Linked DNA regions of Drosophila melanogaster. The protein of the gene in region 1 interacts with the protein of each later gene in a pairwise test. Each region holds a gene or a part of one and is shown in the gene's direction. Other genes may lie near its edges. The genes, in order: Sod3, pie, PGRP-SA and CG6878.

The links.
Region 2: the proteins of Sod3 (region 1) and pie interact in a two-hybrid assay, tested with the Drosophila melanogaster proteins (one large-scale study listed by BioGRID).
Region 3: the proteins of Sod3 (region 1) and PGRP-SA interact in a two-hybrid assay, tested with the Drosophila melanogaster proteins (one large-scale study listed by BioGRID).
Region 4: the proteins of Sod3 (region 1) and CG6878 interact in a two-hybrid assay, tested with the Drosophila melanogaster proteins (one large-scale study listed by BioGRID).

What each region holds. Positions count from the first base shown.
Region 1 is NT_033778.4:11,379,854-11,386,375, reverse strand, and holds Sod3 (superoxide dismutase 3), read left to right. Parts: upstream 1-2,261; 5' UTR 2,262-2,361; intron 2,362-3,300; exon of another isoform or gene 3,301-3,444; intron 3,445-4,058; 5' UTR 4,059-4,064; coding exon 4,065-4,127; intron 4,128-4,193; coding exon 4,194-4,421; intron 4,422-4,484; coding exon 4,485-4,713; intron 4,714-4,781; coding exon 4,782-4,803; coding exon of another isoform or gene 4,804-4,807; exon of another isoform or gene 4,808-5,347; coding exon 5,348-5,537; 3' UTR 5,538-5,582; coding exon of another isoform or gene 5,583-5,694; 3' UTR 5,695-5,927; downstream 5,928-6,522. Other genes in the region: sprt (sprite), read left to right, coding at 1-820, 934-1,315. UniProt on the Drosophila melanogaster protein: Protects the extracellular space from the toxic effects of reactive oxygen intermediates by converting superoxide radicals into hydrogen peroxide and oxygen.
Region 2 is NT_033779.5:10,419,990-10,424,850, reverse strand, and holds pie (pineapple eye), read left to right. Parts: upstream 1-2,070; 5' UTR 2,071-2,207; coding exon 2,208-2,321; intron 2,322-2,388; coding exon 2,389-4,023; 3' UTR 4,024-4,226; downstream 4,227-4,861. Other genes in the region: Wdfy2 (WD repeat and FYVE domain containing 2), read right to left, coding at 1-117, 181-307, 368-480, 753-1,100, 1,171-1,331; RfC3 (replication factor C subunit 3), read right to left, coding at 4,299-4,450, 4,506-4,583, 4,646-4,860. UniProt on the Drosophila melanogaster protein: Required for survival of imaginal disk cells possibly by regulation of cell apoptosis. Required for germline stem cell self-renewal through mediation of BMP signaling.
Region 3 is NC_004354.4:11,559,223-11,563,430, forward strand, and holds PGRP-SA (peptidoglycan recognition protein SA), read left to right. Parts: upstream 1-2,420; 5' UTR 2,421-2,750; coding exon 2,751-3,058; intron 3,059-3,116; coding exon 3,117-3,235; intron 3,236-3,296; coding exon 3,297-3,481; 3' UTR 3,482-3,557; downstream 3,558-4,208. UniProt on the Drosophila melanogaster protein: Peptidoglycan-recognition protein that plays a key role in innate immunity by binding to peptidoglycans (PGN) of Gram-positive bacteria and activating the Toll pathway upstream of spz activating enzyme SPE.
Region 4 is NT_037436.4:15,160,115-15,163,352, forward strand, and holds CG6878 (uncharacterized protein), read left to right. Parts: upstream 1-1,702; 5' UTR 1,703-1,888; coding exon 1,889-2,019; intron 2,020-2,142; coding exon 2,143-2,251; 3' UTR 2,252-2,356; downstream 2,357-3,238. Other genes in the region: Prp31 (Pre-mRNA processing factor 31), read left to right, coding at 1-343, 403-738; CG7011 (uncharacterized protein), read right to left, coding at 850-985, 1,051-1,258, 2,386-2,723, 2,873-3,224.

The sequences.
Region 1 (6,522 bases):
CAGACCAGCCGGGTTTCTACGTAGAATGGGCTTTAGAGGGTGATGGCTTGTACAAGGGCGATCGCATTTTGGAGATCAACGGACGACTGGTAACCGGAAAATCCAAGGAAGAGCTGCAGAAGCAAGTAGGAAACTCTGGCAAGTGTCAGATGGTTGTACTCCGCAAGAAGTCCGTACCTATACCACAAAAGCAACTAGACCAGGAGAAGGAGAACAACATGAGGCTGCAGCATCGCATATCGTACCTGGAAGAGCAGGTGCGAGAACTGCAGACAGTCAAGGAGCATCATCCATCGCAACAGCAGCAGCAGCAGCAGCAGCAACAGCAAAATCCACAGCAAAATCCACAGCAAAATCCACAGCAGACATCCTCCAATCAATCTCAGCATGTGACCAGCATCAGCATATCATCACCTCCATCAACACCGCCCGAGAAACCGTTGATCTTTCAGCGGGGCAACTATATTACCACTTTGGTGGGGGGCAAACCCATCGAGCTGATGGGTGACGACATGGCCTCGACACAAACCCCTCCCGGACATGTAACCAAAACACTGATCAAGGAGAATACCCACATCGATTTGAGAGATCGTCTGTCGCACATGTACTCCATGCCCTCCAAATCGCTGTCCGCCTCGAAGATCTCGATTAATAGCGATTCTGCCTATATGCAGCACCATCGACGTGATAAGGAGCGCCATCGCGATCGCCAGCACCGGGAACGCCCCAGAGATCCTCTCCAGCAACAGCAGCAACTGCATCGCGAACATCTCATGAGCACGCACGCACGCAGTGTAGAGCACCTGAATCATTACAATGGGTAGGTTATTCGCGATTCTTCGAGATTCTTGTGTAGATGTTCTAGCAAAGACAGGCTTTTTCATAGATTTAAATTTTCCTGACTAATCTCCCCGATCTTCTTCGCCATTCCAGACTGGATCGTCGCCGAGACACGCCCCGACAAAGTGAGTCGAACACACTTCGAGCCCGCCTGCCCAGCGATATGAGGAGTGTAAAATCCCTGGATTTCGATAGCGAAAACGAATCGAAGCCTGCGACTGAGACGCGTACCACTAGACCCACTCCGCCCAAGAAACCCCTCCGGCTATCGCTGCAACGAGCCCAAAGTCTGCAGACCGTGGAGCTGCACCCCTGTGCGGATATCGAACGAAAGCGGCCCATGAAGAGGGTCCACCACAACAACAACAACAACAACAAAGGTGGAGAATCACCGACTGGAGAGGGCCAGACCATGCTCATCGAGAACTGCAGTCCCATGCACACGGCTTCCCTCGGCAGGCACAAGCTCATCTAGAAACCCGATCCCAATCCAACCAAAACTAATTGTTAATCGAAGTAGCTTAATCCTCGACCGATCCTAACCGGCGGTTAAACCCAAAAAACAGGCGGACATGTGCAAAATTACAGTAGGCAATATAATTTTAACCAGCTCCCAAGTGGAAAGTTTCTTATTATGTAGTAGCAGTAGTATGTACTTACATTCTATATCTTGTATAAGTAGGGCTTGGCTATCAACATTTAGTATTGAGAGAATCAATAATTAAGAGTTTTTGTATGTACGATGATTTTATTAGCACAATTTACAAATGTGAATACACGAATATTTTCACCTACTTAAATGCGTTATTTATTTAAAAAATTCGATCCCGGCCTGCTATAAATGTGATGTAACTACAATTTCATGGCATCGGTTGGCATATCAGAAGCTATTACCTGGCAACTCATTTTCAAAGAATTTGTAGCAGTAGTTCTTCAAATTGCTTCGCCGTATCTGGAAAGCATGCCAATATTTACGACCTCCATTGTAGGCACGAGCCTGGCACATATTTTATGACGCCACAGTGATAAGGTATTCAAATGAAAAGCACGTTAGCGTGTTTCAGCTGCGCTTTTAGTAAGTTCAAAGAATTACTTAATAGCTATAATTTGGATATAATTAAAAAAAAGGCCGTTAATAGGATAATAAATATATCATCAGAGCTGGACAAAAGAATCTGATCAATCTGCAGTTGATAAAAAAAACTCAACGAGGGAGATAGAGCGATAGAGCGGTGAAGTAAGCCCGAGATAAACCTGAGAGCGGAACTCTCGCCTACGCGATCGTGCTGACCGCCAAATGCAATATCCGCCGCTCCACCTGGTGGCGCTCTCAATTCTCAATTCTGCGGTCTTCTTGCTCTCGCCAAATCTGCCCCAATGTTCTCTCAGCGAGTCGATTTGCGATGGCAATGCCAGAGGCTCGAAACAGTTCCGTCGCAGGTTTCCAACGGTACAGAGGTGCAATCGCTTAATTCTCGCAAAAAACAATCAGTACCCAATTATAAAATAGTTGCTAACAAGGTGAGTTTGCAACGGACGCGAAAAAAAAGAAGATCAAGGGCTAGTAATCGAGAATATTGGGTGAAGGTTAAGCTGAAGTTGAAGTTACTTGAGTTAATTGTAATTGTTAATTGTTCATAATTTATTGGTTTGCTTACATTTTAGAACCTGATTTAGATATATTACCCACAATTGCGTGTTACCAAAAAGAAACCAGTTACCGCAAAAACGGAGTTTACTTCACTGATTTTTGATTCTCTCATTCACTGTCCGCTCACCCTTGAGTGGGTTAAGGTAACCAGTTATTAATCCAGAAAAATGAGTGGGCAAAAATGCAGCACAGACCAGACACAAAATATTGTACATATCCATTACAATCCACACATTCCACGGCTTAAAACTTCAATAAACATTTAAATTCCCAATCGTGAACAGTTGGTTGAACAAGTGTTTACGATATTCTATCTTTTCATATATGTAAAATTATGGCTTGTTCTTATCTCAAAACTGCATAGCTTCGGCGTTTAAATTAGACGCGAAGTCTCTGTGTGTGAAATCAAGTAATCTTGGCTGTATTGTTTGCAAATTCACGAAGAGAGCCCTGCGATCAAATTGTTCAGATAAGCATCTTCATTAGCATATCGTTTCACGGTAAAACTCAAACTGAGTTATTATTTTCAAATCAATCATATTTAATCAGCAAGCAAGAGCCCTAATAAACCTTATTTGATGGACAAGCAGTGGCTATTAGTTGCAATTTGTGACCCATTTCGTGACAGTTTGAACCAGAATAAGTAAATACCTGGCAAAAAACAGATTAAAATACTTATACGTAATGACAATGGCATTTTTAGTTCCGAAATTCAGTCGCTCTACGAGCGTGAGAATCGTAAATTATGGGACCGATTCCAAGTGCAGATAAGGATACGTGTGTAGAGCAGGTACTGACCGCGTTTGAAGATCGTTTCAGAACTCGAGCGTGCAAGATCGCCAGCATATCGCAGACACATTGATAAGACCGTAAGGAAACCGGACCCATAAACAAATATTGCCCCGATAAAGTGTGACACCCATCCATTTCATTTGTGGAACTTTGGAAGCGAAGTGCGTACGAAAAAGAGATTGTTGATTGACCTTCCCGCAGCCGCACTTAACCCTGTGAAAAAGGCTGTTTGCATTTAGTTTCGTTTGGGTATCGCTCATTATTCACACACATAAATAATAATACCCGTTCGCACATCATATATGACCCACAAATCGTTTCATAAATTGAGGCTAGGCGCTTCAATTCCGCACACAACTGTCCGTTTAAATGGAATCAAGAGAATGTACACCTGATGACGTCCAAGCCAGAGATGAGCTGGAATTCAAGTGCCAGAGATGAGTTGGCATCACGGAATTTGAGATTACAAGACATAAACCCTCCTAGCATTTCCCAAAACTGAAAGTATTTGGTTCCAAATCATTTAAAGCTTTACTATAAAGCATTATATAAATAGTTTTGGAAGATGTTTTTAATATTGAGTCCATATCAATTATCGAAATTTCAGGATTATCATTTAGTTCATTTTTAGCTATGTCCAGTAGATCATCCCTGGTGGGATTTTCTCTGCTTGTGCCACTCAATTTAAAATTATTTATTTATAGACATTTAAACATTTCTAACATTTGCTATCCGAGTCGTACACGTGTCTAATTTAACTATGATTTCCTTGCAGTTCAAAATGATGCAATATCTTGTTGTTAGCCTGGCACTCTGTGCCACAATTTGCTCTGCTGCGCAGACGGTAAGATATATAATCTCGTTAATTTGAAAATCCACTTATAATTAGGACACTGAACTTACTTTGCAGCGCAATATGCCCATTCAAGCCATTGCCTATCTGATTGGACCCGTGCAATCGGATAATACCCAGGTCAAGGGCAACGTGACCTTTACGCAGAACGACTGTGGCCAGAATGTCCATGTGCGCGTCCAGCTGGAGGGATTGAAGGAGGGCAAGCACGGCTTCCACATTCACGAGAAGGGAGATCTGACCAATGGATGCATCAGCATGGGTGCTCACTATAACCCCGATAAGGTAGATGCGGGATTCTTTATAGGATTAGGTGTCTAAATCACTAATATAACTTTTATGTCTCAGGTTGATCACGGTGGCCCCGATCACGAGGTGCGTCATGTTGGCGATCTGGGCAACCTGGAGGCCAACTCCACGGGCATTATCGACGTTACATACACGGATCAGGTGATCACCTTAACTGGCAAGCTGGGGATCATTGGCAGGGGAGTTGTTGTCCACGAATTGGAGGATGATCTCGGTCTGGGCAACCACACGGATTCCAAGAAGACCGGCAATGCAGGCGGCCGCATTGGTAAGTAGTCAGTGTAAAATAATAAAATAATAATAATAATAAAATATTTGTTTTAAACCTTCTTTCAGCCTGTGGTGTTATTGGCATCAAGTAAATATCCCTTCCAACGTGTCAGCCAAATCAATATGCTGCTCGAATACTTTATGTGTAGTTGTGTAACTCCAGGCGTAGTAACTAATGAAATGTTTTCCCAATTTTCCCAATTCCCCCACCCACAATCACACTCACCCTTACATGTTTGGCTTACACATTTCCCTCAATTAATTGTCTCAGTTCACTGACTCACTCGATTTGCCGTGTGTGTGTTTGTGTGTAATAAAATCAACAAAAATTAACCGAAATCTAAGCTAAACATTAGCATACTCTGTACCACTTGTGTTCTACCACCTCATATTCATGGCCTAAACAAACTTTCGCGCTTTGCTGGGGTTGCTTTTCCGAGTGGGTAGGTATGACAGAGAGCCTTTTTACCTATCATTTTTACTAACATCATTAGCATTAGTCGGTCGGTCGGTCGGTCGGTCGGTCGGTCGGCGAAGAGAAGGGGATATTGGAATAACAACTGCCGCTGGAATCGGAACTTTACTGATCCAACCAGGGTTCAATCAAAAAACTCACATTGTATGTTTTCCAGTGGCCCATCTGTACCTGCACCTGCACCACCAACACCACGCCATCAGCCACTGTACTATGTGCCCCATGGGGAGCCACAAGATCATGTTGTCTATCCACTCCAGCACTATCCTTTGCCATACCCACACCCATATCCATATCCGCACCCATACCCCTATCCGTATCCGTTGTCGCACCAATTGTATCTGTGAGATCGCGAGACTACACCGTTCGCCTGTTCCACCTTCTAATTGCAGCTCGGATGTGGACGAGTGGCCATGTCGCGATGGTGGCGCCGGCGCCCTGCGCTACTCCTTCTCCATCCTGACCGTCATCGTGGCCCTCATCATGGCCCGCAGCCTTGACTAATCCGAAACATGCACCCGGATCGGATCGAATGCACGCATGTGGCATGGGATTGTTGGCCATCGTAGTGATCTGCATACCTACTTACACACTAACCACACAACCATGAGTCGCACACCACTACCAACAGTAATTATAATACTCCAGCATTATCCACCCAAATAGAGAAATCAAAGGAACTAACTAAGCTACTTGTAAAGTGTTTGAATTGATCGATAATAAAGTTTGTTATTTGTATTTCGGGTGCTTGCAATTTGTACGTGCTTAGATAGTAACAAAAGTTGCTGAAAATGAACGACAGATAAGGGTTAGCTCTAATTTTATAAAAAAGATTAGACAAAGTGTTTCCAATGGACTGTTAGAATTGCACATAAATCACAGTAGTAGTAAGTTATCAAGAGAATTAAATATAACTTCAATTTTGTATGTTGATTTCTAAGGACAAATAGCTGTTTGTTCCCTAAAATAGGTTACCAAATAAATGAACACTCAAAAAGTTGGTAGGAAAACTATATATAGAACTTCGACGTCACCAAAGCTTTTCCTACCCATACACCTTTATGTGGCTGCGAATGGGTCATATAACATTTAGTTGCCTTTGATTTGCTGAATTCCAGCTTAGAGCCACAATTTGCTTTAAATTGCGGAAGCCTTCAGAAAATATTTGTGCTCCAATCATTCAGAGAACTCCAATTCCCAGGGATTTTGATTCCAAGCCGCCGCAACTAATGGTCAAGCAACAGTTTTTGCTTTTATTTTTTCTAGATTTCTTCGACCAGATAGGCTCAGCCAGAGAATGGGTCAAACAGTGGGATTCTAGAAAACCTAGGG
Region 2 (4,861 bases), on another chromosome or scaffold:
CAGCCAGGAACCTCTTTCCGCATTGCATTCATTTCCCAAAAAACCACTACTGAATCTTCGCCACAGCTTATCAGTTGTTGCGTGTGATTCGCGTACGACAGGGCGGAAACTTTGTTGCTACATAATCAGAAGTGCCGATTACTATCTTATTTTATGAATATTATTTAAGATTGGAGATACCTATGTCCCTGCAGCTCGTAAATGGTGCCACGTTTGCCACCAACATCCCAAACTAGCACGGACTGATCGCAAGCTCCGCTAAACAAGAGCTGAGGGCCTTCCACCCATTTGAGGCACCGGATTTCCGCTAAAAATTAACCAATTCGTATATAATTAGCTTACTAAATATCATTTGTAACTTGTTTACCCGAATGTCCATTGAAAGTGGTAATTAGTTGCACTCCCTGAACATCGCACCTTAGCATTGTTATCTGTCCAGCATGATCGCCCACAAAGGCATACTTGGCCAAAGCGTCGAACCTAAACGCAGATTATAATTAATTATATGTTGCTTATAGAATATTTCGCACAGTGCACACATTTATGCCAAAATTTTGTGTAGATAAAATGACTCAGTTGACACGTCATTAACAATAGAAGGTTCTCAAATTCTAAATGAATTCCATAGCCGTGAAGAATTGCAGTTTATTGCCGTGTCAAAGAAAGCAGTTTAATCCAATTAAATGACCCGCTTATCCCATATCCACTGTCGCACCCCCTTCCCCCTTTCACCATCCATTTATCATACTTACTGGAGAGCCGTGCATGGTGTCTCAAAGTTGTATCCGCCCACCCGTTTGCCGCTCTCCGTGCAATGATAGGCGAACTGCTTATCTTTGCCGGCGGAGAGTATCCACTTGTGGGTTTTCGAGAAGACCACGGCCATGACCCGCGCTTGATGGGACAAGTAATCCCGCAGGAAGGACAGGCGATTGCAGTCTTCGGATAGCGCGTACTGGGTGACCGTTCCGTTTTCCTGGCCGACGTACAGGTGCCGGGATTCCGAAACGTACTCGATGGCCGTGCAGCCGGAAGGCATATACTGGCAAATGCTAGGCCAATATTGACCAGAATCGCGTTTTAGCCAAACGCGAACGGTTCTATTGGGGAAAACATGAAAATGTCAGGCATACCATTTGTGTATATTTTTAATGGGCTACAGCTACGCACTTGTCATCGGAAACGCTAATTACGCCGTTTTCGCCCGGAATTAGGATCGCTGCGTTCACATCGTCGCTGCTGCCCTCCAGCTTACTCAGCAATTCCGGCTTTTTGGAGGTGTTAAAGCGATCATTGTTGGTCCGCTGAGCTGGTTTTATCTCGGCAGCCATATTATTTAAGGTGGATCCAGTCCGATGGTACGCCTACGCCCTATTTAACGCACTCGATGATAATGCGGTTATAAACAATCCGATTCTCGGACTGGGGAAGGTGAATGGAGATACGTGATTCACAATCAATTAACAAAACTGTGTTATTTTGTTTAACATTAAATATACTGAACTTTGTTGTTGGAAAGCTCGTCTAGATAGCGACGCCAAGTTTAGGAATGCTGCGGAATAGTGGAATCGATGAAATGAAAATAGAATCTTAATTGTTAGATATAGTTTTTGCGTATTATTGTATATTATTTTGCTATTAAAAATACTGAAGGTATTTCGTGTGATGTGTCGCAGCATTATGTATGCATATGCACGCACCACATTTTATAAACATACAAACGAGCATTTGAATCTTGAATCTCAGAAATCGCTTTATAAATGTATAGTCTTATGATTTTCATAATGGCATATCATATCTAATAAAACCTACGGACCACGCACAGTTATGTTTCCGGTTATCATGCTATTTAATTATTAATCACAAAATATTTGTTTATATTGTGTTAAGTTTTTAATACGTTAAAATTTATTATTACACATAAATAAATAATTTTATTATAAGTAGGGTTAACGCAAAATATAGCTAGTTAAGCAGATTAGATCATTGTGAGTGTTGCTCAGTGGAAACAGAGCTTTTCCAAAAATGTGCTTGGTGGAATTGAAGTATAATAAGGCGCTGTTGTATTTATTGTTTTTCAAAATCCTTGCCCGCCAATAGAGTAAAAAAGGAATGCAAAACATGTTGATAGTTTTAAAAATTATTCATAATAGCACTCAAACGAGTTGATCTGTCCAGCAAAACTAGTCTGAGCGGCCAGCTTACAAATGGAAGATAACAAGGAGCTGCAATGCTTAATATGCAAATATTCGGACACTGACGACCTGGTCTTTGGCGAATGGATGATTGTACGCAATTTGCAGGTGCACTATTTTTGCCTGGTAAGTGCGATTGTTGTGAAATGAAGAGAACTCCCGCTAATGTAAACTTCCTGATCCAATCCACCAGCTACTCTCAACGCATTTGCCGCAGCGCGGCGGAGATAGCAGTGGAATCCTGGGATTTCTGCTTCGCGATATCCGCGAGGAGGCAGCCGCCGCGGAGAAGAGGAAATGTTGGTACTGCAATAAGATTGGGGCCAGTTTGCAATGCGATCGTTGCCGGTCATTGTTTCACCTGAAGTGCGGCCTGGAGAATCGCGCCGTTTTCGAGTTCTGCGGCCAATACAAAAGCTACTGCTACAAATGCAGGCCGATGGATGACTACAAGCGACAGCTGCAGTCGAATCCGCCGAGGAACGCCACTTGCCCCATCTGCTTCAGTTCCATCTATAAGGTAGAGCTGCATTGCGTTGTGTACGGTGACTGCTGCCGCCTCGGATTCGCCCATAAGAAATGCATGCGTCAGTACGCTCTGACCTCCGGATATTACTTGCGTTGCATTTGGTGTCGTTCGGAACGTTTCAGGGATTCCATACGCCTGCAGTCGGTATTCGTGCCCGATCGCGATGCCACGTGGGAGAAGCAACGGAACGCCTATAGGGAGCTCCACGAGCGCAATCTGAAATGCGACCAGCCCAACTGCCTGTGCCCCAGTGGTAGAACTTATAATAGATTATCGTGGGTGATACTATGCTGCAGTTCTTGTGCCGCCACTTCGGCTCATCTTAAATGCTTGGTGGGCGCCCTGCGACTGCCGAAGAAGCGCGAGCGTACAGATTTCAAGTGCTCTATGTGCCTGGACGTGGAGAGGAGGATTGCTGAAGGACCGGCTCGCACAACAGAAGAAACCAATGCTGACGGCGACAACCAGGTGGATGGCTCTTTTTATGTGCAAAAATTGGGACCCGATGCTGCAACTCGATCCTTAACCCAGACTCCTGTTTTCTCCGAAGAAGACGAAAGCGAACGAAGTAGTAATATCACGGTTATATTCAGCCAACCGAAATCTAACGCAACAAGCGAGAGGTTATCCTTATCGCCGCCACAGGAGGAGATGATAGTGGAAATTCCTGATTCGCCAGAGGCGTCGCCAAAGACGTCCATCGATGAGAACCACTCGCCGCAGCCAATAGCAAGAAGGGACACATCCGACTCACCACAGCCAATAGCAGCAAGTGAGATCCCCGACTCACCGCAGCCAACAGCAGCAAGTGAGATCCCCGACTTACCGCAGACAACAGCAATAAACGTAAACCCTGAATTAACGCAGCAAACAGCATTAAACACGATTCCACACTCACCGCAGCCAGAAGCCAGCTTCTCAACGCAGCTAGTATCACAAACTTTCGATTGTCCACAGCCGCAGGAACAAGCTGTGGCGAAAGCTCCCAACTCACCGTCACTGCCGAAAGAGGATCCAAATACTTTACTTGTGCTAAAATCGGGCTTTCAATGCCCTGGCGAACCATTTTTCTACTTGGTTATCTACGAATTTGAGCACGGCACATGCATGGGTGAGTGCATTGGTACGTGTGTGCTGCGATTTAAAGAGGATGACCCGCGCATTCAGGACACCTCGCAGGCAGCTTTGGAACGCGTCAACATAACACCAGACGATGTATGGTGCCGCAGCGAGGACCGCGGCATCTTTGAGCATATCGAGAAGTTCCACGAATGGTACAGATCAGAGGGGTTCTCTTAAATATTGTTTAAAACAATTCTTAATGTTCTTAATGTTTTAAACAATTCTCTTGTGTGGGAATTAATTCGTCATAGAATTCTAGTCTCTTTATGCATATATTGTTTCGCATGATCATCCAAAAAAAAAAAAAAAACAAAAAAAAATTTCCTACCTCTGAAACCACTTTAAAAAGGTTTAATGATTGTTAAACTAGAGAAGCATGCAGTAAATAAATTGTGTTTTATGTTTTTGTATTTATAATTTAATTCTAACCTATTATTGGAGTACACATTGTTTCACTTCTCCATTGAAACCATATCTCGGCAAATAAAGAAGGCGGCTACCAGAGCTGCAGTTTGAGCCACTTCTGTACATCCTTTGGCCAATCTCTCCTCGATCTGAGCTAGCTTTACAATAAGCTTGTTCATGACCGACATAGGCAGCTCAACTGTTTGGAATACATATCAATAACTTGACTTGATGATAACTTGATAAAAACTTACGTCTCATAACAAACAAATGCAATTCTGTAATGATGTCTTCCAAAGCGAGACCTCTTGCGTACTTGGCACTTTCGACAGCTATGCAAAGAGAAGAAAGAATCATTAGTTTTGATCTTTCGCCATTTCAAATCGCATCATACTTTTGAAGGAGTCCTCCAAGCTACTGCCGGATAGCAAGGCCTTCAATATCTGTTCAATATCCTGCCTCAACGGATAGCCCACGCACATGTAGACGTTATCCTCGTTTACCGTATCAAATGCCATCACGGTACTCTGCAGGACGTTCAAGACCTTTCTCATATCACCTTTGGCCAGGGTCAGCAGTGCCCGCTTGCCGTCCTCAGTTATCTGAACGC
Region 3 (4,208 bases), on another chromosome or scaffold:
TTTTTGGCCACAACATTGGAAATAATGATCCAAATATGGATTGTCATACCTCGTTGAGTTCGTATTCAAAATTCTAATCAAACTGTGTTTAAAATTTGGATTTTTAATTTTTTGCCATTTTTCGCAAATTTTGATGATGTTACCCCTTACCGAAAATGCGAAAATCGACCCAAAAATTAATTTTTCAAAATCCGTCAAAAAGTGATAGGGATAGTTAGTAGTGGTTTTTAGCTGCACAAAACAGTCATTCTTGTACTTATATGACCATTTTTAGATAAGTTATAAGAAAACACCCTTTGTACATATCGTATTTTTGGCCAAAAGACGTTTTCCAGATTTAAAGGAAGAAAATATTTAGTTTTTTGGCCACAACATTGGAAATAATGATCCAAATATGGATTGTCATACCTCGTTGAGTTCGTATTCAAAATTCTAATCAAACTGTGTTTAAAATTTGGATTTTTAATTTTTTGCCATTTTTCGCAAATTTTGATGAATACCGAATATGCAAAAATCGACCCAAAAATTAATTTTTCAAAATCCATCAAAAAGTGATAGGGATAGTTAGTAGGGGTTATTAGCTGCACAAAACAGTCATTCCTATGCGTTTATGACCATTTTTAGACAAGTTATGATAAAAACACCCTTTGCATAAATCGTATTTTTGGCCAAAAGACGGTTTTCAGATTTAAAGGAAGAAAATATTTAGTTTTTTGGCCACAACATTGGAAATAATGACTGGTCTATGCCACCCGGATGCGTTTTCATCCAGGGTATCAGCAAGGCAATTCAGCCAACAACGCCAACAAGTTGACTTGACTGCTGGCTAGCGCGGTATAAATGACGCCTGACGTCATGATGTCATCGAGTGAGCGGCAGAGCAGCCAAGCAGCGGAGCGGCCAACCTTAATATTTGTAATCTTCAAGTGCAACTAGGCCCCCGGCCACGCCCCCTTGACACTGTTCATTGGCCGCCCACGGATTGGCAATTAAAAAGAAAGGAATTAAACTTGCTAGTGGAAGCTCCTCGGACTTTTTCTCTGACTCAGCGCCACCTGAAAGTGGAGAGTGAGAAAAGTGGGTGAGGGCGATAGAGAGTGCACTGAAAAGAAATACTAGTGTGTGTTCATATTAGAATTAGAATTATTATATAAATATGTAAGATATGCATAATCTATCTAGTACCACAAAGTATATATGCACACTGAATTTATATGATTAATAATATCTGATTGATCTGCTCGTACATTATTTATGGATAACCCCATTTATAAACAACATATCTATTACCAATGATATCCAATACCATGTCTATAACCATTTGTTTATATCATCAATTACAAAGCCATAAAAACTTTGATAAACATAATATCACTTTCGGTGAAGTAACGCGAAATTAGATAGTCTTTCTTGCAGTGCAGCAGTAAAACACTGAGCGGTAAGTCTGATGAGTAACGCTAGTGCGGCGGAGATGACGCCGGATTGCCCCGCCCTGTAGTGGGTGGCAGTTATCGGGCAAACGGCTTTTATCAATAGCACCAATAATAACAGAAACCAAAATAGAATGAATGAATGAATAAAAAAATGCATCCAGTGGTTAGCGTAATGCATTTGCAATGCGGATCGCCTTCGGTGGAAAACCTTAAGGCAGAGACATGCAAATGCAAATGCCATGAGTAATTCACAATTTATAGACACCACACACATCGCAATCAAGTTCATAGCATGGGGGTCAATTATTATCTACTTTTTAAAAGAATCTTTAACTTTTCCCGCGAGTTATTCATCCTAATGAAACTGCCTTTTTTTAGCTGGCATTTAACACTTTTACCCTTGGAAATTGAAGTTAGTAAAGAAAAGCGGACGGTATTAAACATTTACACGCATTTCATTGACCTACAAAATGTATTGTTTGTTCATTTTTTGTTTTTTGGCAAAAACTATTGAAACTGCCTTTTTTTAGCTGGCATTTAACACTTTTACCCTTGGAAATTGAAGTTAGTAAAGAAAAGCGGACGGTATTAAACATTTACACGCATTTCATTGACCTACAAAATGTATTGTTTGTTCATTTTTTGTTTTTTGGCAAAAACTATTGCCATTACGTTCTATTTAAGGGAAGTATACGTTTTTCCTCGCCCTCTTTTTTAATTCATTAACCATAAATTGATTTAATGAACGACATGTCGGCATGCGAGCCTTCTATATCTTTTCATTTATAAGCTCGAACGATAATATACACAATATATTCGTGAGTAATATTGCTACACTTATACTTTTTTTTTACATATTTACTACTCAATTTGCAAACAAAAAAATAAAAATCTAACGCTCTCTGCGGCTGTTATCAGTGAACTTCTCGCGAGACTTTCAGCTAATCATTAATTTAGTTTAACTGTTAGTATTCGTGTGTACATATCACAAATCTTACTGCTTCTAGGGAAGCATTCGTCACTAGCTGAAAAGCGGAAATTCCATCACAGAGATCGGCTTTCAACCCGTTTTAAATTGTTGTTTGGGCTTTTTGCTTGTCGCTTCGCAAATGTGATGCAAAACAAAAAGAACCGAACAAAGAACGCGGAGATTTGCGACGGATCGGAAGATCTGGAGATGGCTAATGGACGGGAGTCCCCTGTGGCTCTGCGGGATCGTAAGCTCCAGAAAGCTCGGATCGTTGGCCCTGATAAATCCGGCAGATAGCCCATCGAGAGCAGTTCTCATCCAGCCTTAGATCTTAGCACATCAACATCATGCAGCCGGTTCGATTCGGATCTCCTTGGATTATGGCCATTGGGCTGGTGCTACTACTGCTGGCATTCGTCTCCGCCGGAAAGTCGCGTCAGCGTTCGCCAGCCAATTGCCCCACCATCAAGCTGAAGCGTCAGTGGGGCGGCAAGCCTTCGTTGGGACTCCACTACCAAGTGCGTCCCATCCGCTATGTGGTCATCCATCACACGGTCACCGGCGAGTGCAGCGGACTGCTCAAGTGCGCCGAGATTCTCCAGAACATGCAGGCGTATCATCAGAACGAGCTGGACTTCAACGATATTAGTTACAAGTACGGATGGCACCTTCGCAATTATCAAGATAACTATTATGATAATGATCTCTTTCAGCTTCCTGATCGGCAACGATGGTATCGTATACGAAGGCACTGGTTGGGGATTGCGCGGTGCCCACACCTATGGATACAATGCCATTGGCACGGGCATAGCCTTTATCGGCAACTTTGTGGGTAAGTTGCAAATCGATATTCTCCGCTATGTGGAGCACTACATGCCCAACATCTCCGATAGATAAACTTCCATCGGATGCGGCTCTCCAGGCGGCCAAAGATCTGCTGGCCTGCGGAGTGCAGCAGGGTGAGCTGAGCGAGGATTACGCCCTGATCGCCGGCTCCCAGGTGATCAGCACCCAGAGTCCCGGACTGACTCTATACAACGAGATCCAAGAGTGGCCGCACTGGCTCTCAAATCCCTAAATCAACTACAAGTAATTGCAGTAGTCTGCCAGAATGAGCATATCAGTTTAGTAAAGTAAATAAACCAATGTTGTTGAGTATTTTTTTGTGGTTTTTATTTTATAATTTTCTATTTTGTTTTCTGTCATAATTTACAAAAATGTGTCGGACGTAAAAATATATATGAATATATAGTGTAGTGTATGGGTGGGTGCCTGCATTCTTATGCTTTATAAGTAACATTTGTGTGCAGGCGAAAACAACTGATCGGGTTAATTAGGGATTTAAAGGGTATATGGAAAACGCTACAAATAGTGTCTGACGTTGGCTTGTTTTGTTGTTGTTTTTAATAACTAGGGTCTTTATACTAACATTAGGCAAAATAAGAATAGGGATATTCAAAAAAATGTGAAAGTACTTTGCAGAAGAGTGACAAGAGTCTTCCAGTTAGTAAACAATTTCATACAGTGGGTTGTGCAAAGAAATAGATTCGCATTATCGAATACAGTTCGAGAATTGCAACTTGAAACAATTTGTGCAAATATAAATGGCTTCGAATTCGCTTTTCTGGTTAACGCAAACAATTCAAAATGTTTACTTTACCACAAAACCAAATACGAAACTGTAGGCTAATTTATACAACTTGTTTAAAGCTACTTTTGCAAACAGTATTGAATTTTGTATGAGAGACCTATTTGCTGTATACAAACATAATATTATTAAATTCACCTTTCCCGTTCGGGCGATC
Region 4 (3,238 bases), on another chromosome or scaffold:
GCCGCACACTGGCTATGTGTACTACTCACAGATTGTGCAGGATACTGCGCCAGATCTGCGACGCAAGGCAGCTCGCTTGGTGGCCGCCAAGTCCGTGCTGGCTGCTCGTGTTGATGCCTGTCATGAGAGTGTCCACGGGGAGATTGGACTGCGCTTCAAGGAGGATGTGGAAAAGAAGCTGGACAAGCTGCAGGAGCCGCCGCCGGTGAAGTTCATAAAGCCGCTGCCCAAACCCATCGAGGGAAGCAAGAAGAAGCGAGGAGGCAAACGCGTGCGCAAGATGAAGGAACGATATGCGCTGACAGAGTTCCGCAAGCAAGCGAACCGCATGAATTTCGGAGACGTAAGTTTCTGGCTTAAAAATATAATGGTTATGTATTAATCTTTGAACTTTTCTTTCAGATCGAAGAGGATGCCTACCAAGGAGATCTGGGCTATTCACGCGGCACCATCGGCAAAACTGGCACCGGCCGCATCCGATTGCCCCAGGTGGATGAGAAGACCAAGGTGCGCATTAGCAAAACGTTGCACAAGAATCTGCAGAAACAGCAGGTGTACGGCGGCAACACCACGGTCAAACGCCAAATCTCCGGAACGGCATCCAGTGTGGCCTTTACGCCACTGCAAGGTCTAGAGATTGTGAATCCGCAGGCGGCGGAGCGTTCGCAGACGGAGGCCAATGCCAAATACTTTTCAAACACATCCGGATTCATGTCAGTGGGACAGCGGACCACTTAAGAGAACAGCTCTATCCTTATTTTCTATAAAATTAAGCACTTTTATTTGGAGATTTGTCGAATGTATATTGAGTTAGGCGTAGTAAAGCTGCATAAGAGATTCGAATTGTTGTTAGCTGAGCTTGCCGACTTCCAGTTTCCGTTGAATGGCCTCCCACGAGTTGTTCAGCAGCACGGCGAGAATGCCGGCCACCGTGAACACGCCTCCGATGATGGAACAGCAATTCGTGGCGAAGTGGCCAAATGAGCTGGGAATACACAACACAACCAATAAAACTTGTAAAATTAACCATTAGCTTTGTGGCTTACTGACCTGTGTCTCTCCGCATATTTCACCATCAGTGGCGAGAGCTCGTAGCTGAAGAATATCCCCGGCATTCCGCGCTCGCGATCTGAAAGATCTTTTCGGTATCGCGTGACGGAGAATTGATTCGTGTATATGGGCTCGCCGTCGCTGTTTCCTCGCATATATAATGTGGGAACAATTTTTAAATAGTAATTGAACATTTCACTTTTGGTTTCTGCAAAAAGAGGAGAGCAGATTTTCTAGTTTACTTCATTTGTCGTTGATAAATGTATTTAATTTGGTAAGGTAATTACGAATTAAACTTCATGCTTCTAAAAACAGGTATTTCACAATTCGAACAAATGAGTATATTTTTTCCAATTTAAAAAATGAAAATGCCCCACACAACAGACCTCCGAAGTTTCCCAGAAATTCTTCGAGGAGTAAAATATAAATTAAAATGGATGCCTGTGCTTAAATAACTTAGTTTTTTTTTATTTCAGTCTTAAGTATGCTTTTTAATAATATTAATAAATAAAGAATATAAATTGATTTTAAAGCACCCGCTTTTTAGCTACCGCCCCCTATCGGCTTTCTCTAGAACGAGGCAAGCCGAGCGAAAAACAAAGTGGCAACCCTTCTATAATTTGACAGCTCACGCACACCATCACTCAGCTGCTCACACTCACACGTTTACGAATTATTCGACTAGTCGGTGCCGAAATAAATAGAAATATTTTGAATATTCCTAAAATAAACGAACCTTCTGCGAGATTCATAAGTGCGTCGGAGCAGCGGAGCTTGCTACTCAGCGGTATCAACTCATATAGAGCCGGTGAACCAGGAAAACCACGGACTTAGCGGCATGCCTCTGCCTACGAGCTCATTTTCCCAGCAGGGACCAACGTGCTTCGATAAGATGAAGACGGGCTTCATCATCGGATTCTGCGTGGGCATGGCCAGCGGTGCGGTCTTTGGCGGGTTCTCGGCGCTCAGGTTAGTTGGACTTTGCACTCGGATGCTCCACTTAGCGCTCCTCCAAAGAAGTGACGCAAGTGGAGGCCGGCAATTATGTAATTACTCCGGCTAACTAACGAACCACATTGAAATACACTTTAGATACGGACTACGCGGGCGGGAGCTGATCAACAACGTGGGCAAGACCATGGTCCAGGGCGGCGGAACCTTTGGCACCTTTATGGCCATCGGCACGGGGATTCGCTGCTGATCCTGCTGGCATTTGACTAGAGTTACTAAACAACCACAACCTTAAGCCCTACTCCAATCTTGTTTAAATTACGCTAAGTTATTGCAATAGAGATGTTACAGAATTACGAGTCCGTGTTTGTGTTCACTACTCACCAGCCACGTCGACTCGTAGTCCATCCAAGGGATGCGTCTTGGCGAACTCTATCTTCTCGCCGAACGATAGGTGATTGATTGTGTGCGATAGCTTCACATTGCTGAACTGAAAGTCATGGATGTGGAACTGGCGGATGGAGAAGCTCTTGCCGGGCGCAAAGTGAAAGCTGCCGGCCATTCGATTCACTTCCAGGTGACCCTGGATGCGACAGCCCTCCTTGAAGGCGTCCTCGTCGCTGCGTTTGTACTTGCCCTTACATTGCTCGATCTTGTCCACGGCCACGGTCCATTTGCGCAGCCGGTAGGCGTCGAGAACATCCTCGCACGTGTTGCAGCAGCTAGATAGGATGGTAGTTGGTATTAAAAGGGGGAGATTAGAAAGCCATTGCTATAATTAGCTCTAGATACAGATATCTCCTTAGATAAATCTTGTCAGCGAAAATAGGTGGAACTAATGGTTGAACTTAGAAGCTGTTCACTATCTTACTGAGTAGCATTGTGCTCCGCTCCGTAACAACTGCCGCAAGTGACATTCTTATTGGGCGGCGAAACTGCAACGATTTCCTTGATGGGCGTCTCCTTGAGGGGCTCGCCATTGAGATCCAGCCGGTGCTTAAAGACGTCGTGGTCCACCCTCAAGTGTGTGTCGCCAGATGAATCCATTGCGTCCAATGAGATGTAGTTGCACGCCAGATTATGCAGTGTCACGTCCAGATTTATTCTCAACTTGTGATCACGAGTGGTGTCCACGAAGAGCTCTTCATTTAGGGTTGGCTGCATGTAGTTGAGGACCTCGAGGAAGATCAGTAGGCTTATGATGCTGGTACTGATAATTGTAACTGAAAATCAGAGA